Elephas maximus indicus: one gene and its partners. The protein of the gene in region 1 interacts with the protein of each later gene in a biochemical or structural test. Links are inferred from orthologs where the notes say so. Each region holds a gene or a part of one and is shown on either strand. Other genes may lie near its edges.

What was found.
Region 2: the proteins of PLCG1 (region 1) and FGFR1 form a complex in vitro, tested with the Homo sapiens proteins (4 studies listed by BioGRID and IntAct, with this or other methods). The link is inferred for Elephas maximus indicus from reciprocal best matches to the Homo sapiens genes PLCG1 and FGFR1.
Region 3: the proteins of PLCG1 (region 1) and ITK form a complex in vitro, tested with the Homo sapiens proteins (2 studies listed by BioGRID, with this or other methods). The link is inferred for Elephas maximus indicus from reciprocal best matches to the Homo sapiens genes PLCG1 and ITK.
Region 4: the proteins of PLCG1 (region 1) and BAG3 form a complex in vitro, tested with the Homo sapiens proteins (2 studies listed by BioGRID). The link is inferred for Elephas maximus indicus from reciprocal best matches to the Homo sapiens genes PLCG1 and BAG3.

Annotation. Positions count from the first base shown.
Region 1 is NC_064843.1:28,313,584-28,321,150, reverse strand, and holds the start of PLCG1 (1-phosphatidylinositol 4,5-bisphosphate phosphodiesterase gamma-1), read left to right. Parts: upstream 1-4,555; 5' UTR 4,556-4,615; intron 4,616-5,129; 5' UTR 5,130-5,239; coding exon 5,240-5,456; intron 5,457-7,567. UniProt on the Homo sapiens protein: Mediates the production of the second messenger molecules diacylglycerol (DAG) and inositol 1,4,5-trisphosphate (IP3). Plays an important role in the regulation of intracellular signaling cascades.
Region 2 is NC_064840.1:62,286,760-62,294,589, reverse strand, and holds the start of FGFR1 (fibroblast growth factor receptor 1), read right to left. Parts: upstream 3,016-7,830; 5' UTR 2,359-3,015; intron 2,352-2,358; exon of another isoform or gene 2,064-2,351; intron 1-2,063. UniProt on the Homo sapiens protein: Tyrosine-protein kinase that acts as a cell-surface receptor for fibroblast growth factors and plays an essential role in the regulation of embryonic development, cell proliferation, differentiation and migration.
Region 3 is NC_064820.1:173,658,415-173,666,363, forward strand, and holds the start of ITK (tyrosine-protein kinase ITK/TSK), read left to right. Parts: upstream 1-4,948; 5' UTR 4,949-5,119; coding exon 5,120-5,257; intron 5,258-7,949. UniProt on the Homo sapiens protein: Tyrosine kinase that plays an essential role in regulation of the adaptive immune response. Regulates the development, function and differentiation of conventional T-cells and nonconventional NKT-cells.
Region 4 is NC_064834.1:70,242,041-70,249,832, reverse strand, and holds the start of BAG3 (BAG family molecular chaperone regulator 3), read right to left. Parts: upstream 3,013-7,792; 5' UTR 2,571-3,012; coding exon 2,385-2,570; intron 1-2,384. UniProt on the Homo sapiens protein: Co-chaperone and adapter protein that connects different classes of molecular chaperones including heat shock proteins 70 (HSP70s), e.g. HSPA1A/HSP70 or HSPA8/HSC70, and small heat shock proteins (sHSPs), e.g. HSPB8.

The DNA of each region.
Region 1 (7,567 bases):
CACAGGTTGTAGGGTGGAGCTCAAGGTGGATTGAGGTGAGTACACTGGCTGTGTGCTGAGTAAGGTGCAGGCTGACAAACGCAGGGAGAAGCAAGTGAGGCATCTAACATGAAACTGCTGAGTAAAAATTAAAGAGTTCAAAGGATCAGATTAGACACTGCAAGTCTATAAATCTGCATACCCTAGATTGCGGAAGGAGCTTCACTGAGCATTTCTTTCGTATTATTCCCTCCCAAAGTCATTACAAGGAACAGACAAATGAAGACTCTTTAGTGTTTGCTGTTTATCTGTTGAAAACATTCTCCACTAGTTCAACCAAATAAATGTCCATTCGAGAAACTGGTTTTATAACTTAACCGCAGGAAAATTTTTCTCCCCCAAGGAAGAGAAAACTTTTTGCCTTGGCTGCCAGGAAGCTCAAGCCACATCTGATTCTCACAGTAGTCATGTTAACCTATATGGTTATCTTCTTCCTTCTTACGATCTCATATCCAATTTCTGTACTGTAGTATTTTTGTCCTTTCTTTTAAATGCTCAACTTTTAAAGGGCTAGAAAATAATACATTTGTGGTGGGCATAGCAATGTACCACCCAGATCGCTGTTCAAGCAAGGACTTGTTGCCCCAACTGCTGGGAAAGCTGTCAGCAGATAACCTTTAGCTGTTAGCTCCTCTAAGATCACCTCAGCTGCAGAGAGCTGTCTTGCCAAGGTTGTGCTTTTCCCAGGATAGTCCACATCCAGTGACTGAGGCTGAGCTACATGAGTTGGAATCAACTCGACAACTACAACAATAAAGGCTCCCTGTGGGGTTGGCTCACTGTTGTCAGACTTACGTTACAGCTTAATTTCTCCCTCTGCCCACTCCTGTTTCCTTCCTCTCCCTTCCACAGTGTTGATCCCAAGGGCACTCTTTAATAAACATTTGGCACACTAACCTCTGTCATAGAGCCAGCTTCTAGAAGAACTCAACCTGCAGCAGCATTTAACAAAACTATAAATAGAAAACAGATCAGGTAGTGTTAGGGAAAGAAAGGAGGATACAATAAAATGTCCATATTACATGGGAGGCAACATAGCATTGACTAGAGCCAGAGTGCCTGGCTTTGAATTATTAGCTGTGTGACCTTGGGCATGTCTCTTAACCTCTCTGTGCCTCTGTGTTTTCTCGTTTGTGACACGGGGACATTAGTATTTAAAGGGTTGTAATGAGGAGTAAATAAACCAATGTGAGTAATGCAGTTATGTGGTGCTTGCTTTGCATCAAGTACTATTCGGAGTGTTAAGTAAAACAAATACCTGTGAGGCCAAGTTCACAAGACAGAAGGGCAGCTGGGCTAGGACTCCTCCCCAGACTCCGGACACAGACATTGGTGTAGGCAGGGCATGTTGAAGCATGAGTGTTCACAGAAATAGGACCAAGCAGGTCTAGCCTGGTGATGTCAGAGCCGTGTGCCTGTGTGGGTGCTGGGGCTGTTCCCTCCCAGCAGGCACAACTGCATATACTGCCAGTAACACCCACGCACCCATATATATATGCTGAGCTGGGAGAAGCCCATACCGGCCACGCCCTCTGCGCTGCGCCCTGCTTTTCCAGAACCTCCTTTGGTGGAGGGAGGCAGCTGAGTCCTGGGGTGCTGGCCCAGAAGTCCCAGGAGGAAATGAAATGGGGCCCTGGCAGCAGATCGAAAACATGATCTGTTGGCAGAGATTTGTGGAGCCCCCATGGGCCAAACTCCAGAGGCGAAAGCAAGAGCAGGGAAGCCTGGGTTTCACGTTTGGGAAGCTCCCAGAAAATAGAGAACCAGATATTTAAGGCATATCACAGCCCACAAGAACCCTGGTGGTGTAGTGGTTAAGAGCTCGGCTGCTGACCAAAAGGTCAGCAGTTCCAATCCACCAGCCGCTCCTTGGAAACCCTATGGGGAAGTTCTACTGTGTCCTACAGAGTCTCTATGAGTTGGAACCAACTCAACGGCACATAACAGCCCACAGGTTGCCCGAGTCAGCACAGGGGCCTCCTGGAAAAATGGACAAGAACTGGATAGGCATGGAGGAGCCCCATTTGGCTCCCACCTTTCTTCCTGGTCTCCTCATCCCCGACACTCTCCCTCATTCACTAGACTCTAGCCTTCTTTCTATTTTTAAACTCACCATGTTCTTTCTGGCCTCTGGGCCTTTGTACGTGCTGTTCCCTCTGTCTGGAAAACACTTTCCCCCAACACACCCTAATAATTCATCGGGCCATCAGCTCACGTCCTTTAGACTTCCACTGAGTCCTAAAGAGGTCTTCCCTATCTACTTGGTCTGAAGTAGGTCTCTTTAATGTTTTATTCCATAGTCTCCCGTCCTTTTCCTCTGTAGCCCTCATATATTGCCCTTATGTGATAAAGTATTCGTTTAATGTCTGAACTCCTGGAGGGCTGTTGTGGTTGAGTCCTTCCCCATCCGTCAGCTAGTGGCCTCAGTGCCTGGCACAGGAAAACTCAGGGACTGCATTCAGGGGCCCACCCAGTGCCGTCAAGTCGGCAGGACCTCATTAAGACCAAGCAAGCCAAGCCATACTCTGTGAGCACCCATGTTCTGTGGGGTACCCTGTGCTTAAGGCCGGTGTGGGCATGCCTCCTTACCCACACTGATTAGCCAGCTAGCCTCCATGCCCACTGACTACTAACCACCAGGGCCTAATTAAGCCAATGGCTCTCTTGGGAGGCAGAAAACGCATGGAATCAGGCAAACTTGGGTTCAAATGCAAAGTACCCCACTTGTTACATGGTTTTCTCTGGGCAAATTGCAGACCTTCTCTCAGTCTCCTTATCAGTAAAATGGGGACAAAAGTCCCCAGTTAGAGGGTAGTTGTGAGATTAGGTGTGACCACATGTGCAAGGCACTGGGTCAGCTTTAGTTCCCTGCCTTCCACTTTAAAGGCCCATAGCTAGGTGGCAGTCCATCTCAGCTGCCGCATCTCCCCTTAGGTGCTGAAGCTAGGTGAACCTATTAGGACAAAGCTTCCCAACTTCATGCTGGAATTCTGAGCTTCTTAGTGGCCGTGCTCGAGGGAATTAAACACACACTACTGCAAAAGAGTTACTGTTTCTGCAAGACCTGGCAGCCCAGACCTACCCAGCTCAGCTATTGGAGTACGACTGTGGATTGCCTGAGCACACAACCTCACATACTCACAAATTGCAGTATAGGTTTATAGTCTCACAAATTCCAGGTAACCTGGATCTCTCTCTGGCATCAGCTGTGTATGCTGGGCCTCACACTCTGAAGTGCAGTAAGTTGACCTGCTCTGCCCGGCTGCTGACCATCTGCCTCGCTCAATATCTGTATGAGAGACTCTACTGTGACCGTATGTGTCCTCAGTTCTGGTGGCATTCTGTGACAGTGGCAGCTAAAGTGCAGAGAAGGAGGTGGTGGTCTCGGGAACAGCTTTAGGAAGACAGTGTGAGTTCTTCAAATAATCACAAAAAGCACTGTGGCTGGAGAATGGAGAGTGAAAAGGGACGGTGAGACAAAGTGGGGACAGATCATAGGAGACATTCCAGGCCAAGTAGGGGGTGTGGATTTTAAGTCCAATGGGAAATCCAGGGGTTTTAGGTCAGATATAGAGGAGGATGATATAACTTAAAGATTAATCTATGGAGAATAGAGGCAGAGGGCAAGAGTAGAAGCATGCAAGATCAATGGGTAAAATAGGAGAGAAAGATGGTGGCTTGGGCTTGTGGGTGGAGTGGAGAGAAATCTGAGGGAAGAGCGAACAGGACTTGCTGATGGATTGATGTGGGGTTGACACAGAAGGAGGGATCAAGGATGTCACCAAGGTTTTGGCCAAAGCAACTCAGAAGAGTTTACTGCCATTTTCTGAGAAAGTGACCACTGTGGAAGAGCAATTTGGAAGGTGAGGTGCCTGTGTTGAGAGATGTGGGGCAGGCAGTGGGATGCTTGGCCCTGGAGAGCAGCAGAGATACAGATTTGATGTCACGGTGTCTGGGTGGTGGTTGGAGCCCTGGGAAAAGTCAGGTACCTTGGGAACTGACTCAGACTTGAGCCTACAGAAAGAGAAGCTTCTGAGGCCAACAGGGAGCAGCTAGAGAGGGAGGTGGAAAACGAGTAGAGTCCGGCGGGAAGGCCAGAGCTCAGGCAGGACCTGGGCCCTCGCCCTGACTCTGACCGGGGACCTGTCCCGCTGGGACGGAGCGGGGGGTAGGACGAGCTGTAGTCGTTGAGGGACAGACGCAGGCCTCTGGACAGTGCGGCCGCGGGACCACAGGCCCTGCCGGGGATGCTAGGCCCGGGGGACTTGTCCAAATGGGGGTACCCTTGAGCGCCACACTGGCCGCAGGGGCGGGACAGATGTGGGACTGCCGGTCTTAACAGCGGCCTGCGGACCAGCCCCGCGCGGACAGAGGGGAGGGGGCGGGACATGCCTGCTGTCCATCAGTGCCTGCCGGCCAATCTGCAGGCGGCTCCGCCCCGCCCCCCCGGGAGGGCGCGCGGAGAACCCGCCTCCGCCGCCGTCGCCGCCGCCGCCGCCGCCGCCGCCGCCGCCGCCGCCGCGGGTGTAAGGCGGCCCGGCTTGGCCTGGCTCCCTCCGCCGGGCAGCCCGCCCAGGTAACTGGGCTAGGCCGGGCGGGCCGGGGGGCGCTCGACATCCCCACAGCTCTAACGCGGCGTCGCGCGGGCGGTGCTTGGGGCGCGGGGGTGGGGCGCGGGGCTGAGGAAAGGGCTGCGGTTGGGCCTGTGCGGGACAGCGGGCTGGGCGGCCTCCCGCGCGGGTGCGACTGACGGCCGGCGCGGGGCCTGCAGCCTGTGGGCGGGGCCGCCAGCGTGCCGGGGCCGGCCGCGGCGGGCAGGCTGTGTCCGGCGCCGCGCGGGGCGCTCTGCGGGGCCGAGGAGCCGGCGGACTGACGGGGGGCGGCGCGCGCCCCCGCGGCCCTCGAGCCCCGCCCCCGCCTGGGGCCTGCCCGGGGGTCGCGGGGCGCAGGCGCGGCGGGCGGGGGTCCTCCCCACGGGCGCGCGGGCGCCTTTGTTCCCGGCGCGCGGGCGGGGCGGGGCCTGCACGAGCCGCCCCGCCCCGCCTCAGGCCCCGCCCCGCCTCCGGCCCCGCCCCCGTCTCCGCCCGCAGGAGCCTCGGGTCCCGCTCGCCGGCCGCCTCAGCCGCCTCGGCCGCCGCCACCTCCGGCTCCGGGCCGCCGGGCCTGCGCCGCCGCCGCCGCCGCCCCCAGAGCCGGAGCCATGGCCGGCGTCGCGTCCCCCTGCGCCAATGGCTGCGGGCCCGGCGCGCCCTCGGACGCCGAGGTGCTGCACCTCTGCCGCAGCCTCGAGGTGGGCACCGTCATGACTTTGTTCTACTCCAAGAAGTCGCAGCGGCCGGAGCGGAAGACTTTCCAGGTCAAGCTGGAGACGCGGCAGATCACGTGGAGCCGCGGCGCGGACAAGATCGAGGGGGCCAGTAAGTGCGCCCCCTCCCCGGCCCGGCGCGCGCGGGGTGGCCAGGTCCGGCCCGGCCCCGCGCGCCCCGACGCAGCTCGCGGGACTCGGGCAAACTTTCGGGCCTTCCTCCAGCCCCCGCCCCGCCCCCGCCCCCGCCGCGTCTCCGGTGGTCACCGGGGGCGGGGGGCATCCGGGCCTCGGTCACCTGACAGGACACCCCCTCCCCCAGCTGGGGGGAGTGTTCCAGGCTCTTTGCCCGGAGGCCTAAAAATCCTAGCGAGTCGCAGCCCAGCGGCGCAGGCAGCGGGCCCCCCAGCCCAGGGGGGCGGTGTTGGCGCAGCGAGGGGCGGCAAGGCGGCGTCCCCCACCCCGCGGAAAACCTGGGACCCGAGCAGACGGTCACCGCCCACCACTCTCTCCAGAAAGAGCGGGCTTTAGGAAACTCTCTGGGCCCTCTGGCTGGGCTCTTGTTTGAAAGAGGCACCGTGGGGTTCCTTAAGTAGAACTTCTGCAGATGTTGGGGTCGGCCTGGTTGGGGGGCAGAGCCAGGCCTACTCATCACCCTCTTGGGAAGAGGGAGGAAGGTGGTCTTGTTTGGTTTGAAAACGCCTGAGAGAAGTCCGTGGCCGCTCTTTTCTGCTGGTTCTTTTGTCCTGAAGCTGAGTTTTGGAGGCTTGTGTGGGTCAGTAGAACCCACTGCCAGGACACAGACTTTTGGTAAAGGGGCCAGTTTCCCTTGCCCTTGGGAGCACGTTCCCTGAGTGCAGTGGTGTCAGGTACTCATCTCAGTAGTGCTCAGCCAGGTTGGGAACTAGCCCTTTGTGTCACTCATCCTGTGTCCGGTGGAAGCAGGGAACGGGGAAGGGCTACTCTTGGTTTCCTGCCTCTTTGCCATCCTTAAACCTGGGCTTGGCTCCTTTTCATCAGGTCTCTGGTGAGAGGAGGGAGGTGGGGGATTTCGAGAAACCCCACATCTTTCAGAGTGTTACCCCACTTAACGGGTGCCCGTGCACACTCAGCTCAGCCCTCCATTCCCCCGCCTCCAAGTGTGAAGAGATGATGTGTCTACAACTGTAGACCGTGGGTTGCTTCCTGCCAGGACCCCCCAGAGGCTGTTGTTGGAGAGATCGGGGCTCAAAACTAAGTCCGGGTGGAGGAAGGGGTCAGGAAGTGACACCCCCAAGGGAGGCCCTGATAGATCTTCTGAGTATGGTGTACATGCGTTTAGATGTTTTAGGAGATTGGGAGGAAGGAAAGTGTGGTGACGGAGCCAACCTCAACTAAAAACTCCAGATCTGACATAGCCGTTTGAACTAAGAAGTGGTGGCCTCTTCCCTTATGCCTCCATCTGCCCTGTCAGCCATTGGGAACTCTTTTTTTTTTTTTTTTTTTTTAATGATTTGGAAGACTAGATTCCAAAGTGGAGGAAGGACAGACACAGCAAAGAACAGGGATAGCCCTGGGAACATCCCTCAGGCATCAGACTCCATGCTTCTGTGATGTTCCCTGTGCTGTGTTGAATTGGTGGCACTGGCTGGAGGTTCCCAGGTAGAGATCTCCTGGGTAACAGGCTGCATTTTAAACCATACGAGTGACCAGCGGGCAGTTAAATGTAGCAGAGTGATTGCAATGCCCGGTTTGAAGCTCAAAGCTAGTTTTGCGTTCCCCTGCCAGTTACCTTCTCTGAGCCTTAGTTTCCTCATCTGTAAAAAGGGAGATAGCAATATGTCCATCGTATATGGTTTCTCTGGAATTAAATGAGATAATTGATTTAAAACATCTAGCACAGTGCCTGACACATTGTAACTGTAGTAAATGTGAGTTGTTACTAATAACAATAACAATAATAGTCTACACTGTCCTCCCAGGTTCTGGGAGGTAGAGTATGGATGCAAGAGAGCCTGAGGGTGCAGGAAGGGAGGATGGGGGACCAAGTTCACATTTCCCCTAAATCGCTACCCTGAAAAACGGAGGAAATGACTTTGTTTTGCCCCAACCCACCCACCCACTCACCTACTACAAAGAACAGTGTTTCTGTAGGAAAGTATTTGGAGTTTTGCACATCTGACTACTGGGTGTGACTTTCTTGTTTGTAAATTGGGGCCCAAACAGAAAGCAGGGGTGTGGAGG
Region 2 (7,830 bases), on another chromosome or scaffold:
GCTCTCTCTGGTCACTGAAAGGAAGAGAGATGACCCAGGCTTGGGGGTAATTAGCTAGACCCAGGCACATCCCACGGGACCCTGCTACTTAGCTTTTAAACTAGCCTCAGAGAGGAAACTGGGATATTGGCCCAGGGGGGGAAATGGCTACTTTCTGCTAAACCTTCTCAAGGCTAAGGTTCTACAATTTAAACAGTATTCCAAAAAAAGCACGGGTCCGGAGGTGCACAGGGCATAGCACATCTGGGAGGGAAACAGTCACCTTAATTACCATGTCTAGAGAAAGTGCGATTTCATTACAGCCTCCAAAACTACCGCCCAAAGAAGGAAACCAGAGAAGTGTTTTCAATTTGAAAGAGACTGCAAGGGAGAGGGCGAGAGAGACCAATTCTTCCCACCTTCTCTCAAGTTTGGACCAGAAGGTGCTTTCCTGCCTCAAAGGCTATTACAAAAGGACAACTCAACAATCCAACCCCGGCTTTCAAACCTGTAGCCTGTAGCCGTAGCCGTTATTTATTTAAATGGTCAAGTGCCCCACTTTCGTTTCCGGGGGCTGCAGCCCAAATAACTCCTTGAAAACACACAGGGAGCGCCTCTGGCAGCAGCAGTCCCACCGCCTTCGCACGCCCCCACCCTCGGCCACTGGACACTGAGTGCAAAAGGGACGTGTGACTGCCATCGCTGGGGCAGCCCCAGACCGGCTTCTCGGAGGGACCGCGGGCTCCGGACAGGGGCAGACAGTTTCGCAGCTCCAGCGATAACTGAAGGAAGCAGACAGCAATGCTTTGGTTCCAGAAACTTCCATCAGGGCCAATCTTGGGTCAGACCCACGGCCAAAGAGGCCTTCTCTGGCAGATGAACCATTCGTAAGTGCCACCCCCCAAAACCTTGGCCCCATCTCCCACGACGTCTCTTTTTTCTACACAATCTAGAAAGCATCCCAACCATCACCAACGGCTGAAACTAAAGAACGTGGGATCCAAGACAACTTTCTTTTCTCCCCGAATCCCACCTCATCCTCAAGTCTCTAGAAATTTTAAGGGCGGAGGTGGCAAGAACGTGTTGAAGAGTCCTAATTTTCATTTGGGGGAGGGGAGGAAGAAGGATGGTAATAATGTGGCTTCGGTGTACCCGTGTGGGGTGAAACGGAACCAGATGCGGCTGCTACATCTGGAAAACGGAAAAAGGAAAAAAAAAAAAAGTGTTGCGGGAGAAAGACACCGCAGAACTGTTTTTTGTTTTGTTTTGTTTTGTTTTTAAAGGGCTAATAGCTCTGGGCCCAGAAAGGACATGCCGGTTTCCCTCCCACTCCACCCCATCACCCCAAAAAGAGGTGCCTGGCTGCCTTCTCATGGTGTGTTGTATGAGCCCCACCTAAAACGTCAATAAATTCCTCTGCAAAAAAGGGTTCTAGCCCCCCTTCTCCCCACCCCAAACATAACGTGAGGGGGCAGCGGGGAGCAGAGGGGTCTGGGCCAGAAAAGTCACAGGCATCGCTACAGAGTGAACCTCACAAGAGAAAACCCTCATCCCTTCCCCCACCTCCAAGAACTAGATAGGAAGTAAACGTTCCCCTCTTCCCCCCATATGGGATGTAACATCACCCGCTGGGTGCGCTCCCCTTCCCCAAACTAAGTAGAAGATAACCTCCTCTGGAAAGAGGAATTCCTTCCTCGCCCTTCGCTAAAGCAGATTCAGCCATTTGGTGACGACACCTCCTTAAAACCTATTCGAAGAGAAGCGATCCTGCCCCCTCCCCTTCCTTCCCTCTTCAAGGCCTTACCCACCCACCCCCAACTCCGACCCCAGGCTTTCCCGGAGGAAGAAAAGGACTTAGAAATAGCACAGATTTTTAGCGTTCAGTCCAAGGCTACCTGCTGGATTGGGGTGAGTCACCAGGAAGGGACCAAAATGAGATGGAGTGGAATGCAACGCACGCACACACACTCACGCACACACACACACACACCCCACCTCGCTGCCCACTCCCGCCCTCCTCCCGGGTCGAGCAGCCCCAGGGCCGCCGCAGCCTCGGCCCTGGCCCTGGCCCTCTCCGGACTCACCGCCGCGCCGCCGCCGCCGCCTCGCCAGTTCCAAAGCACAAGTTGGCGGAAAAGTTGAGCAGCAGGAGGAGCGGCGGGACCAGCGCGGGGAGGGGGCGCAGAAGGCGACGCGGGCGGAGGGGGAGACAAAAGAGGGGCGCAGAGCCCAGAGGTGGGGGGGCGGGTAACGAGTGGAGGGAGGCGCCGGACCCGACTGGGCTACAGTGGGGGGAAGCGCGCAGCCAGCAAGCTCCAGCGCCGGGGGCCGCTCGGGACGCCGAGCCCGCCCCGGATCTGGGGGCGCCGTGGCTCTTACCTCACTCGGCGCTGCGGTTCCGCCTCTGGAGAGTCTGCCGTGGCTTGTGCGGGCGGGCGGGTGCCGGCGTCCCCCGCTCCGGCCCGCCGCCCCCGGGCACCGCTCGGATTCTCGCCGGGCCGCAAGAAACCCGCGGCCGGCGCTTGGCTCCCGGTGGCGCTCGGTGCTCGGCGCCTCCAGCCCGGGCGGGAACAATGGAGCCGAAGCTGGTGCCCCGGAGGCGGGGAGGGGGGAGGGCTCCTGTCCGCCGCCCGGGGTCTCCAGACCCTACGCCCCCCCTCCGCCGAACCGGGCGGCGGTGGCTCACGCTTCTTGCAGCCCGGGCTCCATCGCCCTGCGGGGGCCGCGGCGTGCCCGACTGCAGCACTGGTACGGTGCGACCTGCGGAGCGCCCCCTCGGACCGGAGAAAAGTCCTCGGTCTCGGCTGCTTTTCCAGCTGCGGCGCGAGCTCGCCGCTGGGGTAGGCGAGGTCGCCGCAATGCGCTAAGCAGAGTCTCGGTGCTGTCCGGACGTTGCCGCCCCGCTCCGGGCACGGCCCGGGTTCCTCCGGCGCTGCGGCTGGACCGGGGCTCCCACTCTTGCTCGCCGCCGCCGGCTGCCGAGCCCTCCGCACCAGTGCCCGCAGGAGCGCTCCGAGCGCTGTGCGCCGGCGAGGCGCGAGGGCTCTCACACTCCCACACCCCGCTAGTCCCACCTCCTCCTCCGCCCCCTGCAGCTGCCTGCTGGGCCTTGTAGTTCTCAGCCGCAGCCCCGGAGAAGGGGGCAGCGGGACTGAGCTGGCCGGCACTCCTGCCTTCCTTTTCTGAAGTCTGGTCTCCTTTGGCGCCCGCGCCCTTCCAGCCGAGCATGGGGAGTAAGGCGCCCGTATTTCAGGCCATGGGCAGACTGGCAGTTTGGGGAGTGAGGTGGTTTGACGGGATAACCCTGAAGTTGTCCCTGACAGCATAGGTTTTGGAGTCTGAATGTGTGACTTGGGGAAATGATTTACTCACTCTAACTCTCGATTTTCCCATCTGTAAAAGGGGAAATAATAACAGTACTTTACATATAGAGCTGAGCATTAAATGAGATGTAGGTTTTGAGCTAGGAATCCTGGTGATACAGTGGTTACGCGCTCAGTTGCTAACTGAAAGGTCGGCGCTTGGAACCCACCAGCCGCTCCGCGCAGGGTGCTTCTGTAAAGCCGAGAAAACCCTACGGGACAGTTCTACTCAGTCCTATAGGGCCACTCCAAGTCAGAATCAACTTGATGGCAACGGGTTTGGTTTTAGGTTTAGAGCCTAGGACATAGCTATGTGCACATAGTTAACACTCAATAAATACAAAACTTTTTCTTTTTTTAATTCATGTGAAGGTCAATCCCCGCCTTCCCTTCAATCTCACTTTCCCCAATCACTTCCCTTCGGTTTTGTGGCCCACGGGAAGTTGGCCCTGTAAACTCTACAGCGCCATTCTTGGGCCTGCTGGGAATGTTAGAAAGCAAAAAATGAGTGTTGTTTTGGAAATTAATCAGAGCTCACCCATGCCGCACCCTGCATTGCTGTAAGGAACCCCAGAAAAGGTGGCTAAAACGTTCTTTCCCTTGGGTTCTGCAACAGAGTGATACAATCTGCTGTGTGCCCTCAAGTCGCTTCCAACTCATAGTGACCCTATAGGATGGAGTAGAACCGCCCTATAGGGTTTCCAAAGCTATAATCTTTTACAGAAGCAGACTGCCACATCTTTCTCCTGCGGAGCTGCTGGTGAGTTCAAACTGTCGACCTTTTGGTTAGCAGCCGAGCGCTTAACCAATTCTGCCACCAGGACTCCTTTGGTATTATCTAGTAGTTGCCTAATCCAAATGTACATGAGTTCTCTGAGGAACTTTTAAAAATATAAATTTTTGGACCTACTCAGAGGCTCCAAGGAGTCAGGAATCTGTATTTTTTTCTGAGGCTCCCATGGTGCCTGTGATGTGAGGCCAGGTTGGGGGCCACTGGGAGGGTGGAAGGTAGGCCTTATTGGGTATGAAGGAGACCTGATTTCAGGTCCTCCACTTGTGAACTATTTGAGCTTGGGCAAGTCAGCTGTCTGAAAAAAATGAGACAGAGGTATCTGTCGGGACTCCTTCACAAGGTTGTCACGAAATCAAATAAAATAATGACAGTCAGGGCACCCAAAGTGTTAACACAAATAGAAATAACTACGTAAGTTAATGGCAGGGCCTGTTCTCTCACCTCCACTCCACCCCAATCCACAAGGTCATTAAAGGTTCGGATATAGAGCGAGATTGGGCTTCCCAAACAAAGGAATGAGTCCCTAGGTTATTTCTCCATTTGACCAGCAGGTGAAAGAATAGTGACCAACACAACATCATCTACATAGTAAAAAAAAAAAAAAATTAGGCACTCAATAAATGTGTACTGACTGACCGAAGAGTAAATATTCAGTACATATTTGTTAAATAAATGAATAAATCAAAAACTAAATGGCAGGAAAGCACCTATTGGTGGAATAAATGGACTTCAGCCATTGTTTACAGGTTTTTCACCCCTTCATCCCTTCAGCCCTCCAGCTCCTGGACAGGTTACATTTACTTTTCCATATAAGCTGTCCACCCATTAGTCCTTCGGCTTTTAAAATAATGCTCATCCATCTGTAAGAAGGCCAAACTCACACTCCTCTCCACTCAGAGACACCTCCTTTGCCGTTCCCAGCCCCATTCAATCCTTGGCACTCCTACTGACCTTCCGGTATAACCCACTCATTTGATACTTAAAATAGCCTTTGTTAGTTGTCTTTTTTTTTTTTTACTCTGTGTTCTGTCTAGCTAGCTTCTGAACTGTTCTAGAGCAAGGATCCCTTTTATGTATCAAGTCTAGCTTAGGAGTCTGTACTCAGGAGACTTTTTATACATATTTGTTGTTGATGGACTTGATGAGGGTAACAAATCTGGGTTAGCACAAGAGGAAATACAATTTGAGGGAATATGATCGAGAAGATAAGTCATGGAAAATCCAGAATTTAATATTAACACACAACTACTATTTTCCCACTTTATCCCTGAAAGAGAGAGTATCATCCTTCCTCCTTATGATTCTTTTAAAACAAACAAACAAAAAAAAGCTCATGAGATTTTAAATCGAGCTCTTTTTTTTTTTTCTTTCATTTTAATTTGGAAGCGTTTGGGGAGTGCTTTGAACCCAAAAGAGGAGGCTGAAGAATGAGTCCTGGATTTAAACAGAATGATCTAGATGTCTTGTCTGATTGGTGTTGAGGCACATAGGCCTGCCGCCCAACAAATTCCTCTACAGTTTTAGCAAGAAACCAAAATGAAGCAAGTAGCCAACTTGATAGCTCTCTCTCCCCGAGTTTTTAGGGGAACAGTCAGATACGGCTGGAAGGAATGGAGGTGAAGAATCCAGAAACTAATGGAGGGATACACTGACCGCAGACAGGGCTCCTGAATAATTGAGAGCTGACTGCTTTTATCATTCTGGTCCCGCTCCTCATCCGTGCCACTCCCCTCCTTCTCTTTCTGAAATGCAGACCCTGCACTTCAGTCCCAGGAAGAAAGGCCCCGGGCCAGTGGAGGAGAGCATCCCCAGGGCCGCTTGAACCGCCCCAGGCAGCACGGGTCAGACGGCAGCTCTGCCCGCCTGTCCTGCACTGAGGGTTCCTGGCACCTTGCCTCCCCACACAGAAATGTAATCTTCCCTCTGAGATAACAAAGAGCTGGGAGGGTCAGGGAGGATTTGTAGGCCCCTTGCCCTGCCAGCTAGATGTCTGAGGGGGAGACAAAAGGCCCTCATGCTCGAGGACCTGATAACCAGTTGGGGGCCTGTTGCCTCCCGGATCTGAGGCGGGAGGGGAATGGTGCTGAATGAAACCAAGGGAAAGAGAGCTCTCCCCAAAGCCTGTTCAGTTCTCTTTGTTTGGGAACACTTGCAGAAAATCCCTCCCGTCTTCTTCAGGCTACTTGTGTCCTCGAAGTTCTTCCACCGAGAGGTAGTTCTCCTCTCTCGCCATACTCCCACTGTCCCAATGCACCCCTGCTCCGAATTTGGTTATTTCATTAGGCTCCAGCAGCCCCCATCAGGGACGAGCACCCTACTACACCGGGTAGGTACTGCAGAGTGAAGACCTCACCACTAAGGAGGTGGGGGGAGGCCAGGGACATCTGTACTGGGCGAGGTTGGGCCATGGTTCTGCTCTAGCCCAAGGCTAGAGGTTCCTTAGACAGGTTGGCAACTGGCAGGCTCAGCTCTGAGAGCGGGTTGCAGAAGGGGATTCAGGAGGAGGGGACTGTCTGTGTTTTCCCTAAGAAGTGGATCATTCACAGGTCCCTGGGAGCAGGTGGGCGGCAAAGGCTTTTGCCCCAGGCCCCTGGAGTTAGGGAGCAGCCGTCAGTTACCATCTGGCCACCATTTGGTGACCCCTGGCTGTTCCTAGCACAGCTTCAGCATGTCAGGGAAGGGAGGGTCTTGTTTGGCTTGGTGTTTTTGTAAATAACATTTCACTCTCTCCTACCAACTGGGAGCGGGAAGCGGAGCCAGCAACAGCAGCAGTTCAGCTTGTCTGATCCTAATGGTACATTTACTCACCAAGCATGGGGAGGGGGAACACTTGTTGTGTGTCAGGCACTGTGCTGGGCACAATAGATCCAAACATGTAAGAGACAAGGGCACCATCTCAAGGAGGTCTTGTTGGAGAAACCAAATGTTATAGGTAGTGCCACCCAGATGCACGTGCAGGGTTTTCTGGGAGGAGAGGTCAGGAGGCCTGGTGGAAAAGGAGATGGCTCAGGGAAGTGGTGTCTGAATCCTAAAGGATGACAAATGATGTGAAAATCTACAAACTCATCTTGGGTAACTGAGGAAGGCAAGACTAGAGAGGAGTCCCTGGGTGGTGCAAACACTTAACATGCTCTGCTGCTAACCAAAAGGTTGGAGGTTCAAGTCCAGCCAGAGGCTCCTTGGAAGAAAGTTCTACTGTGACACACATGGGGTCGTCATGAGTTGAAATCAACTGGAAGGCAACTGACTTTAAGACTAGAGAGTACGTGTGGAGGGATTGAAGCTTCTGAGTTGTCTTCCTCTGAAAGGATGAACTTGGTCTCTGGAGTCAAACAGATTCTGGGTATCAATTCTGATTCTGCTTCTTCATACTGACTATGTGATCTATGGCAAGTTACTTAACTCCTCTCAGTTTCCTGGATGGTGAAACGAGGATAACAATAGTTCTGAATTAAAGTTCTGAATTAATCAAAGAATTAAATGAGATAATGCATGTAACACACTTGGCACAGTGACTGGCACATAGATTTTAAGTGCTCAATAAGTGGTAGCCAGTTGTTATTTTTTAGCCCAAGAACGTTGCTTTGGCCCGAGAGACCTCGTCTGGAACCTATTTTCCAGTTGTCTTTGTGGTTTTACTATCCATTCACTCCCTTGGATTCTTTGTCCCCAGAAGCCTGTGACAGAAAAGGGTGT
Region 3 (7,949 bases), on another chromosome or scaffold:
TAAATTTTTAAAGCCAGAACAAAACATATGTTTATGTTTTACTGAAAGTAATGGGGAAAATATTGGACCTACCTAAGGTTGTATTTGGAAACCCTGGTGACATGGTGGTTAAGAGTTACAGCTGCTAACCAAAAGGTCGGCAGTTCAAATCCACCAGGCTCCCCTCGGAAACTCTATGGGTCAGTTCTACTCTGTCCTATAGGGTCACTATGAGTCAGAATCGACTCAATGGCAACAGGTTTCTTTTTTTTTTAAGGCTATATTTAAGGGGAAACCCTGGTGGCGTAATAGTTAAACGCTATGGCTGCTAACCAAAAGGTTGACAGTTCAAATCCACCAGGCGCTCCTTGGAAACTCTACAGGGCAGTTCTACCCTGTCCTATAGGGTCGCTATGAGTTGAAATCGACTCAATGGCACTGGGTTTGGTTTTGATTTTTTGGTATATTTAAGGAGCCCTGGTGCTGCAATGAAGAAACCCTGGTGGTACAGTGGCTAAGCACTCAGCTGCTAAGCAAAAGTTTGGTGGTTCAAACCCATCAGCTGATCTGCAGAAGAAAGATGCCGCAGTCTGCTTCTATAAAATTACAGCCTTGAAAATCCTATGGGACAGTTCTACCCTGTCCAATAGGGTCACTATGAGTCGGAATCAACTCGACAGCAATGGGTTAGGTTTGAGTTTGGTAGTGCAATGGTTAAGCACTCAGCTGCTAACTGAAAGGTCGTCGGTTCGAACCCACCAGCCAGTCCGTGGGAGAAGAGACCTGACAATCTGCTCCCATAAAGATTTCAGCCTAGGAAATCCTATGGGACAGTTCTACTGTGTCCTATAGGGTCAGTATGAGTCGAAATCAACTCAAAGGCACACAACAACAAGGTTTCATTTAGGAGTGGTGCAGTGTGATAAATTATTTAGTATGGTCTTTCTTGGCATGGTCTTATAACTCCCACCCAGGTGATTGGGCAGGGATGTGCAAATAAGATAATTGTGGCCCACTAGGGGGATTGGTTGGTTTTGCCTTAAAAAAGAGCCAATTCCAGAGCAGAGAGAAGATGAAAAACGGAAGAATGAGAAACTTTTGGTTTAGGGATGGAATGAAAAAACACCGGTGGATTTAAGTATGTTGTAATCAGTTACCCAAGGCAAAAGCTAGTCATGGGATTTAGGAAGGGTGAATCTAACTCTTGAGGAACTGGTTATTTGGATGCATATGGAAATGCAGAGTGATAAGAAGATGGAAGGAATACACAGAGTCACTATACCAAAAAGAATTGGTTGACGTTCAACCATTTCAAGAGGTAGCATACGATCAGGAACCAACAGTACTGAAGGAAGAGGTCCAAGCTCCACTGAAGGCATTGGTGAAAAACAAGGCTTCAGGAACTGATGGAATATCAATTAAGATGTTTCAACAAATGGATGCAGTGCTGAAAGTGCTCACTCATCTATGCCAAGAAATTTGGAAGACAGCTACCTGGCCAGCTGACTAGAAGAGATCCATATTTATGCTTATTCCCAAGAAAGGTGACCCAACCGAATGTGGAAATTATCAAACAATATCATTAATATCACAGGCAAGTAAAATTTTGTTGATGATCATTCAAAAACAGCTGCAGCAGTATATCGACAGGGAACTGCCAGAAATTCAGGCCAGATTCAGAAGAGGACGTGCAACCAGGGACATCATTGCTGATGTCACATGGATCCTGGCTGAAAGCACAGAATACCAGAAAGATGTTTATCTGTGTTTTATTGACTATGCAAAGGCATTCGACTGTGTGGATCATAACAAATTATGGATAACATCGTGAAGAATGGGAATTCCAGAACACTTAATTGTGCTTGTAAAAAACCTGTACATAGATCAATAGGCAGTTGTTTGGACAGAACAAGGGGATACTGCATGGTTTAAAGTCAGGAAATGTGTGCATCAGGGTTGTATCCTTTCACCATACCTATTTAATCTATATGCTGAGCAGATAATCTGAGAAGCTAGACTGTACGAGGAAGAAAGGGGCAACAGGACTGGAGGAAAACTCATTAACAACTTGTGATATGCAGATGGCACAGCCTTGCTTGCTGAAAATGAAGAAGACTTGAAGCAATTACTGATGAAGATCAAAGACCACAGCCTTCACTATGGACTACATCTCAACATAAAGAAAACAAAAATCCTCACAACTGGACCAACAAGCAACATCATGATAAACAGAGATAAGATTGGAGTTGTCAAGGATTTCATTTTACTTGGACCCACAATCAGCACCACGGTAGAAGCAATCAAGAAATCAAAAGGCGCATTGCGTTGAGCAAATCTGCTGCAAAGCACCTCTTTAAAGTGTTGAAAAGCAAAGATGTCACCCTGATGACTAAGGTGCGCCTGACCCAAGCCATGGTATTTTCAATCACATCATATGCATGTGAAAGCTGGACAATGAATAAGGAAGACCAAAGAATTGATGCCTTTGAATTGTGGTGTTGCTGAAGAATATTGAATATACCATGGACTGCCAAAAGAATGAACAAATCTGTCTGTGAAGAAGCACAACCAGAATGCTTCTTAGAAACAAAGATGGTGAGACTACATCTTACATACTTTGAACATGTTATCAGAAGGGATCAGTCTCTGGAGAAGGACATCATACTTGGTAAAGTAGAGCGTCAGGGAAAAAGAGGAACACCCTCAACAAGATGGACTGACACAGTGGCTGCGACAATGGGCTCAAGCACAAAAAGGATTGTGAGGATGGTGCAGGACCAAGCAGTGTTTTATTCTATAGTACAGAAAGTTGCTATGAGTTGGAACTGATTCAACGGCACCTAACAACGACAAAGGAAGGGCCAAACATAAGATTCCTTGGTTCTGTTATCAGTAATAGCTATAATGGCAGGGAAAAAGAATGTAGGGCCTGATTTTAGCATTGAACCAAGCCCAGATTCAGTTCAGTCAGAGCTAAGACCGCTAGTCTCAGGGCCAACCAAGGAAGGAAAAATCAGATTGGAACAACAGTTCTTCTATGACCATTATTCATCAGGAAGGTAGTCTGTGAGGAAACGGACAAAACTAAGAGGGTATAGTGTAAAGGAGTTGCTTCAATTTGTAGATCGGCATTACTAAATGAATTGGGAAAGTGGCTCATTTAGGAGCAATGTCTTTAGTTTTGAATGCTGCAGAATGGAAGAATGTGTTTGGGTTGATACAAGAGCCACAACTTACTATGGAACATTCACAAATGGCGATACTAGATGCATTTACACAGCAGGTTACCCCAGAGGAGACAGCCAGCCTGATGGACTGGATAAAATTTGCAGTGAGATTTGTTTATTCCGAGAAAAGAAACTGCCCCCTCCCCCTCTAAATACCCAATGGAACACTCCAGAGGAAGCGCCTGGTGTGCCGCTCATGGAAGTCATGCTGGAATGGCTTTATGGTGGCAGGAGGGGGAGTGCTGAGGGGAGAGGGAGTGGTTGATGTTAGAGATGATGGAGTGGTACAGCAGCTTGGAAAAGCTGGACATCTGGGACATCTTAAACCTCTGCCTTATAGGAACTAGCTTTGTGCTGATCCTTATCAAAGAAATTATTCATTTGAGCGAGCAAAACCTAACTTCTCTGAGTGAGTTCGAAGATACTATAAGAGAGAGGATAAGATGAATTCTTGATTGTATTTTACGGAGGCTTGGCAAATGAAAAACTCCCAACTATTACCACAGCTACTGACAATATTTTGCTTTTTCAGATGAGAACACTTGTATGATGTCTGTAAATCTTTTAATCTGAAACAACCAGGAATAAATCTACCCTCCCCAAAGGAGTTTATAGTTTAGTTGGGGAAGGTAGCACTGTATTAGTTAGAATGAGTTTTGCTGCTAGTGACAGAAACTTCAAAATAACAGAAGCTTAAAAATTAGAAGTTATTTTTGTTTAAGCTAAAAAAGGCTATCCGGGCCTTGCATGGAGGGTCCATGGTCATGAGGACCTTAGGGTGTTTCAATCTTGTGCTCTATTGCATGCAATTTCCACCTCATGCTGCAAGATACCTGCTCCAGATCCAGCCATCACATCCACAATCTGGTCAGCAGAAAGGAGGGAAAAGGGTGCAAAGTCTCCCACTAAGGGACATTTCCTGGATGTCATGCTCACCACTTCCACTGTGTCCCATTGGCCAGAGCACAATCACATGACTACACAAACTACAAGGGAGGCTGGGAAATGTTGTCTTTATTCTGGCTAGCCAGATGTCAGAATCAGTTACGCAGGAAGAAGGAGAGAGCACATGTTTGGGAGAAATAGCAATTCTTGTACCAGAAAAAACAAACAAAATACAACCTCTATTGGACAATGTATTTCCACATATAATATCCTAAAATCTTAGAACAAGGTTAGGGGCATCATTTACAATACTCTCCTCCTTAACTTCTCCCAGAGTGTTTTGATTATGCCGGGGCATTCAATATATGATACAAAATTAGGCTCTAGTCTAGTAATTTATATTTTTAAAAATAAAATTTAGAGATTTGAACTCCTATATGGCAGTAATGAGTCTTCTGTTTTATTATTTATCCCTGTCCAGTACATACCATCTCTGCTTACACTAAGATTTCTTGGTTCTTTACTTCTTGCTGGAAGTAGGGTTCACATACTATGTTTCAACTTACATACTAACCATAAGGCAAGATATATGACTAGTGTTATGGATTGAATTGTGTTCCTCAAAAATGTATGTCAACTTGGGTAGGCCTAATTGATTCCAGAGCCCATATTCCTACCCCTTGTGCTGTTAGATGGACTAAAGATTAAATTCTAGTCCTTAATATCATTTGAGTCTAAGGTTCTTCAAATACCATTTCCAAACCATGTAGCAAAGGGTGTAATTTTTTTTTTTCACATATACCTCTTTTGTGAATTTTGAAAGGATGTGGTTTTAGTCTTTGACATCAGGGGGAAGCTCTGCAATGCTGACTGAACCTTGATAGAAAGATAACGTTGGAGGCAAGTTGCCTTTGAACAACTCTCTGAAGATCAACGGCCTCCCCGTCGCATTCCTTGCCCAGAAGCTCTTTCCTCTGGTTGTGCTAAGGGGTGATGCCCAAGGCACATCACTTTTCAAGAATTGGATCATGAACAACTTTATCCTCCTGGAAGAACAGCTCATCAAGAAATCCCAACAGAAGAGAAGAACTTCTCCCTCGAACTTTAAAGTTCGCTTCTTTGTTTTAACCAAAACCAGCCTGGCATACTTTGAGGACCGCCATGGGGTATGTGAGCACTTTGTTTTGTCTTTCTTTGAATAGTATTTTATATTTGTACTGGGGTGATTTATATGGAATAAAATAGAAAACGGGGGACACAGACATGCTTGTCAAGAGGTGAGGTAGCTGTACATGGTGGTTTCAGTTCTAAAAATCATAGAGCTGTGAGTTGAATAGCCATCAGCTTCTTTTTCCCGCAAGGGTTAAGCTTAATTTTAAAATTATGATAATATTATACATAGCAAATGTTTTGATTAGATATAACTTGAACTTCATTTGAAATATGCTACGTGTTATGGGACATTGCTTAATAAAATATTAACATCTGATGGAAGCTGACAGATGATATTGCCCAGTTTCCTTATTTTACAGTGAAGGCAACTGGTACCAGGAATGGTTACATGATGGGTCCAGAGGCTCAGAGCCCTTGAGTAATTTGCCCACGGATTTGACAGCTAGTCAGGTGGTGGAGCCAGAATTCAAACTGTGGTAGATAAAATCAGTATTTTCTTTAATTCAACCCATTTGTGTCAACGGTCACCAGTCGCCTGACATCTTGGAATAATATTCCCTGAGCATTTAATTGAATACGGTGTTGCCCAAAATTTGCATGGCACAATGGTAAACCCCTTAAGCCCTTGGAAAACTTCCCAGGAAACTAGTATTACCAAGCAAAAAGTGACCTGTGGTGAGGACCAGCGGCTCTTATCCATAAGGTAATCGCTGCTTAGCTAAGTCAATCTTTTTGTATATCTGAAGATACTCTCACATTCTGAAACGTCAGCAATTACAGGAGCAACATGAATAATCATAACAATGTAGTTTGGTAGAAAAAGCACTGGGCAAGTGATCTGGAGACCAAACCACTTCTCACTGGATGATTGAGCCTGAGCAAGAGTCTCTTGTTCTTTCTTTCTTTAAAAAGAAAGGTCCCTTCCTTCTTTAAAAATTTCTTTTATTCAATGAAGAGGCACTTGTTTAGTACTTCTGAGCAATTCATCAATACATGTTTGATTTCTTACTATATCACTGTACTTTTTCCATTATTAGGGTGGTAGGAAAGGGGTTGTCACCTTTATTTTACTGAAGGAGAAATAACATTAGGTGCTTAATGGTCAGGTGTGGACAAAGCTGCTCTGAGTCCTTGTTGGGATCTGACTTAGTAAGTGCAGGCAGGAGGATGGGGTCTTTTGAGAGTCAGGCTTTGAAGCATTCAGTGAATGGAGTCCTGAATAAGGCTGGACAGTTATATGCAGCCTGTGGGTGATTGACCCTTTTATGCAGTAGGTGAAATAATACTGCCTTTTTTTTTTTTTTTCTTTTTTTTTAAGAGGGGATAAGACTTGCTCATCTCCTTTTCACAAAACGAGAAGCAATTCAGCAGACTCTAACTGATAACAATACCGGTCAGTCAGAAAACATATGGTGATTACTGATTATGTAGAAGGCCCCTTTGATAGGTGCTCAATAAATATTTGTTGACTAAAGGAACATAGGGCCAGTAGCCAAGTTTTGAACTTCAGAGAGTCAACATACAGAGCTGATAAATCACATGGCATCAGTCAATATTTTTCTTATTGTGAGTGGGACATCTAAGGTTCTTGTTCCATATTGAAAGAGTTATCACCGGCCTTTAAATATTCTCTTTTCAAAGTCCACGTTACAGTTTTTGCCAATTTTTTTTTTTCCTGACTCCACATAGCACCATCTCACTTGTTAGTCCTGATACTGATAACAGTTCCTAAGCAGAGAGTTCAGTGCAGTAGTATTCGTAAATAATCACAAGCCGAGTGGTCTTGATTCAGAATTTTGTTGGTTATAATTTTTCTTTAGACGATGTTGTGAAATCACTGTGCTTCATTTGAGCATTATGAAAAGTTACAGCATAATTCATTCTGTGCATGGGCGAGCCCTGGGCTAAAATCCCTAAAGTTTCCGTATAGGATATAGAAAATACATGAAAACAAAAATCAAGTTTTTTGTTTTCTAATGCCTACAGTTTATATACCTAAATAACTATTTTAAAAGCATTTCTTTAAATAGTATAGAAATTTATTGGTTAGAAATTTCTCCAAGGTCACTGAGAAAGTTAAGATAAATGAGTTATTACAGATTCATGTCCTAATTATCTCCCATTGTTTAGGGCCACCGATTTGCACAAAGAAGTGCACTGTGCATTCCCCAGAAAAAGCAATAACGTAATATTTATGAGAAGGAACTTTTTATTTTGAAATTAAAGCCTCAGTCTTCTGATCTGTAAATGGGTGTGATGAGAGTACCCACGTCATGATAAAATGATAAAGTTGAAGAGAGAGAATGTACTTAGGCTGAACTATTTGAAAGTACCATTTCATAGATAGAAATGGTTAGATATAGGCAATTTTATATAGCTCAACTTAATATATAAAGTACAAGCAATCCTTGTTATTCACGGTAACTCTGTTCTATGAAATTACTGTGAACACGGAATTAGTGACCACCTATAACAGTTTTTTTTTTTTTTATAACAGCATATGGTTTCTCCATAGGGTACATCACAGTCTTCTTGCGCTTAGGAACACTAGATAGCACTTTAGCACTACCCTTCGGGGCCATTTTAAACAGAGAAATCACCGACAAAAAGTACAAACATGGAGAAAACATGACATTAATTATACCACAATAAGGACATTTGTTTGCAATATGAGAGTGGAAACCA
Region 4 (7,792 bases), on another chromosome or scaffold:
TGATAAACGGTGCTTTTCTTGAGTTAATCACATCCAGTCACCACCATCCCGAGCAACCAGGGTACAGAGGTTGGTAATCCTGTACTCGGTGGATGGCACGACACAAAGATAATCAAGTTTTTAACTTTCATGCTTCACAGCTTCATAAAGATTCAAGACACTTCTACCTTCTCTCTCATTAGGGCTGTGAACCATTTTTTTGTTCTTAGAAACTGGAGGCTTTTTGGTATAGTTCTCTCTTTGCTATTAGCACTAGCTGAGTGACCTTGAGAAGCCTACCGTAACTCTCTGGGTTTCTTTACCAGGAAAATAAAGAGGCTGAACTATACGATCTTTAAGGGCCTTTCAACTTTAAAATTCTGTTTCCATTGTCAGACTTCTGACTCAGTAGCTTTTATTTTCTATTTTTTTGGAAATAGTAATTCAACTTGTCCCCCCCTTAAAAAGCTTTATGAAACCACAGTCATAATCCATCCACCCTAGGGGCGGGTCCATGAAGCAAAGCAAGCAGGCAATCCCAACTAGCCAGGTGAGTTCCATGTTGAAAACAAAGCGCTGGCAATTTGGGTCTTATACTGACTGCACTCACAGTGTGTGTTCCAACTTGATCTTCACTCAGGACAAAGGCTGCCGGCAGAGTCGGCCTCTATAGGAAGTAGGCCTCAAAATAATAGCTTTATAGCATACTAAAGGTCTTCTGCAGCCATGCTGACTGCAGTCACAGGAACTGGCTTGACAGCGACATAAATTTCACCCATTAATGGGGCTGAACAGGCACACCAAAAGGTATACACAATTACGTCCACTCCAGCTAATTACAGCCTTGTGGAGTAATTTTCAGAAATAAATATACAACTAATTCCTTGTAAACGTAAATTGCTGAATGTACGTCTCGCTGTTGGGCACAACAGTTTTATCAGTATCTGTGGGCAAAAAAGTGCCCAAAACTGAAGGTGGGACATTCAGGTCTTTCGTCTGAAATACTGATTTATAAAGCATTTTGAACTTTATGTGAGTTTTTAAAATCTTCAAAATAATTTACCAGTTTTTCACTGCACAGACAGTATTAACAATTACCCTTTGTCTAAGTATATTTATTTTTCAAAAACTTATTCTGAAAAATTTCAAATTTATAGAAAATTACAAGAGTGGCACATTTAATTACAATTTTTTTAAATTAACAGACTCATTCCAAATTTATATTTTCAAATTTTCATGCTCTTAAGGGTTGAGAAGTATAAATCCTTGCATGTATGTAAACAAGGAATATTGTGGTATTCACAGAGTATTAAGCCACTGCCCTGGAGTTGATTCTGATTCATAGCGACCCTACAGGACAGAGTAGAACAGCATCATAGGGTTTCCAAGGCTGTAAATATTTACGGAAGCAGACTGCCCCTCTTTCTCCACTGGATCCGCTGCTGGGTTGGAACTGCAGACTTTTCCGTTGGCAGCTGAGCGCTTAAACCACTGCGCCACCAGGGCTCCTTACCAAATTATTACTATTTAGTTATATTTGTGTATTGGAAACAAATCCTAAACATTTTAATAGCATAACAAGTAAGGGAATGTATGCCGTTAAAAAAAAAAAATCATTGGCTGTCTCTCCAGCGTGAGGCAATGTTTTAAGGCGAGGGACAACTAGGAGCGACATTCTCAGGGCTTTGGGTAGAAACTGCCTTAAGAGTATACTGTTTTTAAGAAGTCAAACTAGAACACATTCTTATTGAAAACAACTCCACACGATAAAACAATTTCAATTTCAAAAACAGAAAAAAAAAACTTGTGTATTTACACCAGCCTCCTGAGTCACTCTGTCCCCGAGACGAGAGAGTAAAGTCAGGAGACCCCCTCAGCCAAATTGTGGGCCTTAAAGAAGCAAAGTCCTCAAGACCACCGCCCGAGTGTGCGAGCGGCCCCTCGGTCCCCCGGCTGAGGATCTGGGGACAGAAGCCGGGCGGGCAGAGGCGCCTGCGGCGGGGCCTGACGGACGGGGCCTCGGTGCACCAGGCCCCAGGCCAGCTCCCCCCTCCCCCCGCCCCGCCTCGCGACTCGACCCAGTGGACGGGCCCGGGCCACCCCCGTCCCCCAAAACTAAATGCGGCGCGGTGGGGACTGTCGCCTCCGGGGCCTCGCCCTCGCCCCGACGCCTGTCAAGGGCGTATCCGGAGGGGCCTCCCTAAGCGCGGCAGGACGAGCTCGAGGGGCCGGGCGACCCCGGGGAGGACAGGGAGGGCTGTCACCCCGAGGGCTGTGCGTCCGCCGAGGTGGCCTCCACCGACCTCCCGGCCTGGGCACAGGCAGAGGCTCAGCCCCGGCGCTGCGGCCCCGCCTGTCATCGAGGTGGGGCCGCCGGCCAGGGAGGGGACGCGGGCCCAGCTCACCTTGGGACCCTCGGGGGGCACGCGCGGGTCGTTCCACGTCGTGGTGCGGCTGTTGTGGTCCACGAAGAAGGGCCAGCCGGTCTGCGGGTCGATCTTGATCTCCCAGCCCGGGGGCAGGGGGTCGCGGTCGCCGGCGCCGTTGCCGGACGCCATCTGCACCATGGGCGAGTGGGTGGCTGCGCTCATGCTTGTCGGGGTCGGCCCGGAGGGCGGCCGCCGGGGTGCCGGAGAGCGGGGTCTCGGGGTGCTGGGGTGCCGGGTCACGGGGTGCCGGAGTGCGCGGTGCCGGGTCACGGGGTGCCAGAGAACTGGGTGCCGGGTCGCGGGGTGCGGGCTCGCGCGGTGCCGGGCCTCCAGGCGCCGAAATGCTGGGCCGCCGCCGCGGGGACCTCTCCGCCGCCGGAGCCTGAGTCCTGCGCCGCCGACGTGTCCGGGAGGCCGGCGCCGGGCACCTTTATGAATTAAAGGAGGGGGTGACGTGGCCGGAGAGGGGTGGAAGTGTCTGGAAATAGCCTCCTTGCTGCCAAAGGGGACGGAGAAGATAAAGGGAGGCAGCAACTGGCCGGCTAGAAACTTCTGGTCCCATCCAGAGAAGTTGGCGGCGGCCTGGCTTGGATGCGGAGCTCCGCCCTGAGTCATCGGCTATAATCGTGGCGCGCGGGGCGGGGCCAGGCCGGACTCCCCTCCCCCACCCCTCCCCGAGAGGGCCGCGGGGCGCACCCAGGCCGTGCGAGCCCCCAGGGCGTTGCCTGGGGTCCCCGGGCGGGTTTCGGGTTTCAGACTCGCTCCTTCCCCTGCGCGTCGCGTGGGTGTCCCCGGACTGGGAGTCCGCGCGCCGTGCGGCTGCTGCCCCTTCTTTTCATAAAAACAAAGTCATCGTTAGCCTTTAAAGTCGTTTTGAGCTGGAGATGTTACGGTCCTTCCGCCCCCCCTCCGCCACCGACACACCGGTATTTGGGAACAGGGGCGTCGCTCAGTTACGTTTTAATCACTTTCTTTCATGGAGCTTGAGGGCTGTTTGGGGAGGGGGTGGTCTGGAACGTTGATTGGACACTGAACAAAGCCGGGCAGAAGATGGAGCCGCAGTGGGAACTCACCTGCCTGCCTTCTGAAACCTAAAGAAGGAAAAAAGATTGCTCCAGCCGATGGTTTTATTCTCCTCGAACGTCATATCTCAAATACAGAAACTTTAATTGCGGTGAATAACTTTAAAGATCACATTCTTTTGGGTTTTGATCGTTATTTATGGTAGAGGTTCTTGCTAGGAGAGTGAAAGGTGAAATCTTAAAGCTTGACCTTCATTTGGAAAGTAGAGACCAAAACGTACAATTAAAATTTTCTGTTTGGTTGATTCAATGGTGGTTGCACTTGTAACTTCAACAGAACGCCCTGGCTCCCCTGGGAGGTCTGCGTCCCACAGAGAGAATGTTAAGGAGGTTCCAATTTAGACCTCTAGGCATGTCGACTCAATGCCTTCCCAGAAAGTTTGAGAAGCTGCCTTGGAATAATGTTAGGCCCAGTTTCCAACTCAAATTCAGAGAATAGGTCTGTAGCCCTCAGAAACACCTCTTGTTTCTTCCTGCCCTCAAATGACCCCTAAGGAGGCCTGCCAATCATTTCCAAAGGAATGATACCCACTTTAAAAAGTATACTTATCGGCTTTGAATGGGAAAAAAAAAAAAACTCATTTTCCTGAAAACAGAAAGGTGATTAGACCCCAGACACTGACTCAGGTAACCAAACACACAAGAGACTGATGTATAAACCCCAATGGCAGTGCATTAATTTACCAAAAGAAAATTACTGTTGAAGAAACTGGGCCCTCAAGTTGACCTGTCAGTGTCTTATGCTTTCTTGCATCCGATGTCCTGAACACAGGACACCGCCCAGAGCCCATATTCAATAAATGTTTATGTTCATTGAAAATCAAACTCAAAGTGAATTTGTATTTCTATTTTCTTCATTTGTTCAATTTACTTTCCACTACAACTACAGTTTAAGCACTGAGAGCATTCTTCACTGGCCTTTTTTTTTTTTTTTTTTTGATAGAAGCAGAGAGGAAGGAGGTTCCTCTGGGAATAACATAGCTGCTTCTGAGGACTGTACTCCACCAAACCAAACACCAAACCCATTGCCATTCAGTCGAATTCCAACTCATAGTCGGATCCTGTAGGACAGAGTAGAACTGCCCCGTAGGGTTTCCAAGGCTTTAAATCTTTGGGGAAGCAGATTGCCACATCTTTCTCTCACAGAGTGGCTGTTGGGTTCAAACTGCTGACCTTTCCATTAGCAGCCAAACGCTTAACCACTGCACCATCGGGCCTCCTTTGTAGTCCTCCAGGGATTTCAAATAGGTTTGTCTAAAGCAGAGCCCTGAGTCTTGGAGAGCTGATTGGAAGAAGCCCCTCTGAGCCATGCTGAATAATGAGTAGCATGTCTGTCTTATTACAGATTCCTCATGATAAGAAAAGACTTTGTCTTTGTCCAGAAGCAGGTGATTTAGCTCAGTGGAGGCCTTAGAACCAAATGAACAAAAAACTAGCAATAAGAACAAGACTCAGGTGTTAATCCTCTGAGTTTTGGGCAGTGAACTTGACTTGTGCTCAGACTTTCCCGTCAGCCTTAGCCACTTTTCATAGGCCAGAAGGGTGTAGCCAGATGACCATAGATCCCTTCTACAAATGAGGATTTCTGCTCTCCATCCAGTCTCTCCTCGAAGAGCGAATCACAGTACCTCCCAGCCACGGTGCTTTCAATAAATATAAATTTTACAGAAAGAGACTTGGGAAGAGTTGTCTAAGCTTGCTGCCTGGAGCCATCTCAGTGATTACTTATCAAATCAACTAACTCAAAATCTTGACTGTTTAGAATTTCTCTACTTTTTGTGAGAAAAACAGCCCCATACCACCAGTCTGAGGTCGCTGCCCTTCCCTCTGCCTTAACAGCCTGTTGAACAGTTCGGAATTAATTACCTTGACGTCTTCTGCTGGACTGTGAGCTCCTTGAGACAGGAGTTGGCTTTCATTCATCCCGATATCAGCACCTAGTCCATTGTCTGACATATTGAATAAAGATGCTTCATAAATCCTCGTTGAGTGAATGGGATAGTGAGCTGATACGTGTGAATAATTCAAAAACCACGCCTAGTGTATGCCTTGAGGTCAGTCTTAATTTAATTCACCTATACATTTTTTTTATACATCTTTTTTTTTATCTTTACATCTATAGAGCCACACCCATTCCAGCTCCTCCCATTCCTTTTGCCTGGCTGACTTCTCTTCATTTTCAGGTATCGTCTTCAACATCACTCACCTCCGCCTTCCTAGTCTAGGTCATGTGTCCCTTCTAAGTGCTCCCATATAAATCCTTTGCCACCCTATCAATTACACCACATGGAAATTGCTTATTGGATCATCTGATGTGCTCATGGATCAAGTTTTCTGGAAGGCGGGAGCGGAATCTTGATCACCACTGTATCCCCAGCATCTAGCACAACGCTAACAGTTGTAATGGCTACCATTTATTGAGCGCTTACTGTAATCCAGGTACTGTGTGTTAAGGACTTTATGTTAGTTGTTTCATTTCATCTTTGAGGTGGAGGCTGGGATGAGCTGCCCAGATCCCCTTCCAGGAATAAGGGTCTTATTCCCTACCTGCCAAGAACAATACAGGAAGACCTCTCTCAGCTGTTAGTCCCCTTTGAGAATTGGCTCAGCTGGAGAAAATTGCCTTTTCCAAGGTCATACCTCCTTCCAGGGGCAACCCGCATCCAATGACTGATCTGTTGTTGTGGTTACTTGCGGTCGAGTCAGCTCCAACTCACAGGACCTTGTGTATAACAGCCCGGTCCTGCACTAGCCTCATGATCTGTTGGTATTTTTTAGTCCACTGTTGCAGCTATTGTGTAGTGCCTTCCAACCTGGCGGGCTCATCTTCCAGCATTATATCAAACGATATTCTGCTGTGATCCATAAGGTTTCCATTAGCTCATTTTTGGAAGTAGATCGCCAGGCCTTTCTTCCTTGTCTTAGTCTGGAAGTGCCACTGAAACCTGTCCACCATGGGTGACCCTGCTGGTATTTGAAATACTAGTGACACAGCTTCCGGCATCACAGCAGCACACAAGCCATAGCAGTATGGCAAGCTGACAAACTGATGGTGGAATGACTGATCTACCAAGGGGTATAAAAAGCCCCGACCCTTTGTCCCAACTAAGGATAGTTCTGAAAGGCAATCCCAGCTCCAGGGCTGGCTGATGGCTTTCCTTGGGATTACATCACAGCTCAACTCCTCCCTCTGCCCAATCCTGCTTCCTGCCCTCCGCACTCCCTAATAAGCAACCTGCTTGCTACCTTGTCTTGGCGTTTGCTTCCTGGGGAACCAAACATAGGACAGTTCTCTCAACAACCTTACGATGTAGGCGTTATTATGATTCTCCTTTTATAGGTGAAGAAACTAAGGTTTGGAGAAGTGAAGTAACCTGCTCCAAGTCACACAGCCAGGCACTCAATAAATATGATACGTGACCTGATTGTTTAGTCCTGTTCATCACCAAGGGAAACAAATTAAAAACTGTAATTCAAAAATCCAGGTTCGTGCACATATTTTTCTCAATGCTGAAGAAACAAGGGCAGCAACAGGCCCTGCCATGGAGGATTACAGATCAATCCTGTGAACAGGGTTTAAGAGACTGGCGGAGTCCCAGCACAGGTCGCAGACCGGGCCTCCAGCCCACCTACAATGGTGAGTTTTAAATGAAAATGTCACCCGAAAGCTTTCATTCAGTGTCTGGATGAAAATCTGGATGATTTAATCCATCTCCCGTGGAACACATGAGCTGGCAGAGCAGAACAGCCAGTTCTCCTCAATCTGAGCGAAAGCACCATTCACCCCAAGCTGAACCTGAAAGTCATTTTTGCATGTCTTTGGGGTGTTATCAGGGACCAGCCCATGCTGCCAAGCATACTTTCCAGGTGGACCCTTCTACTCTGGGCAGCCTGGACAAGGGGAGGCCAGGGCCAACTGGATGTGAGCAATGGCCTCTCTAGAATGTTCTGATGGTCAAGTGCATTGGGAGAGAAGTGATGTCTGCTCTGATTATGCTATGGAGACTTCGATGATAACCCTAAATACACCCTGTCAAAAAAACCAAAAACCAAACCCACTGCTGTCGAGTCGATTCCGACTCATAGGGACTCTATAGGACAGAGTAGAACTGCCCCGTAGAGTTTCCAAGGAGCGCCTGGTGGATTCCAACTATAGAGGTGAAAAAATCAGAACCTGGCAGAGCAGCAGAGCTTAGGATTTCAGCACTAACTTTGCATCTGTTTGTTATTAAAAGTTAAAGTCTGCGCTCTCTGACCTCACATGGCAGGTACACCCTGTACCAGGCATCTGGGTCTTTAATC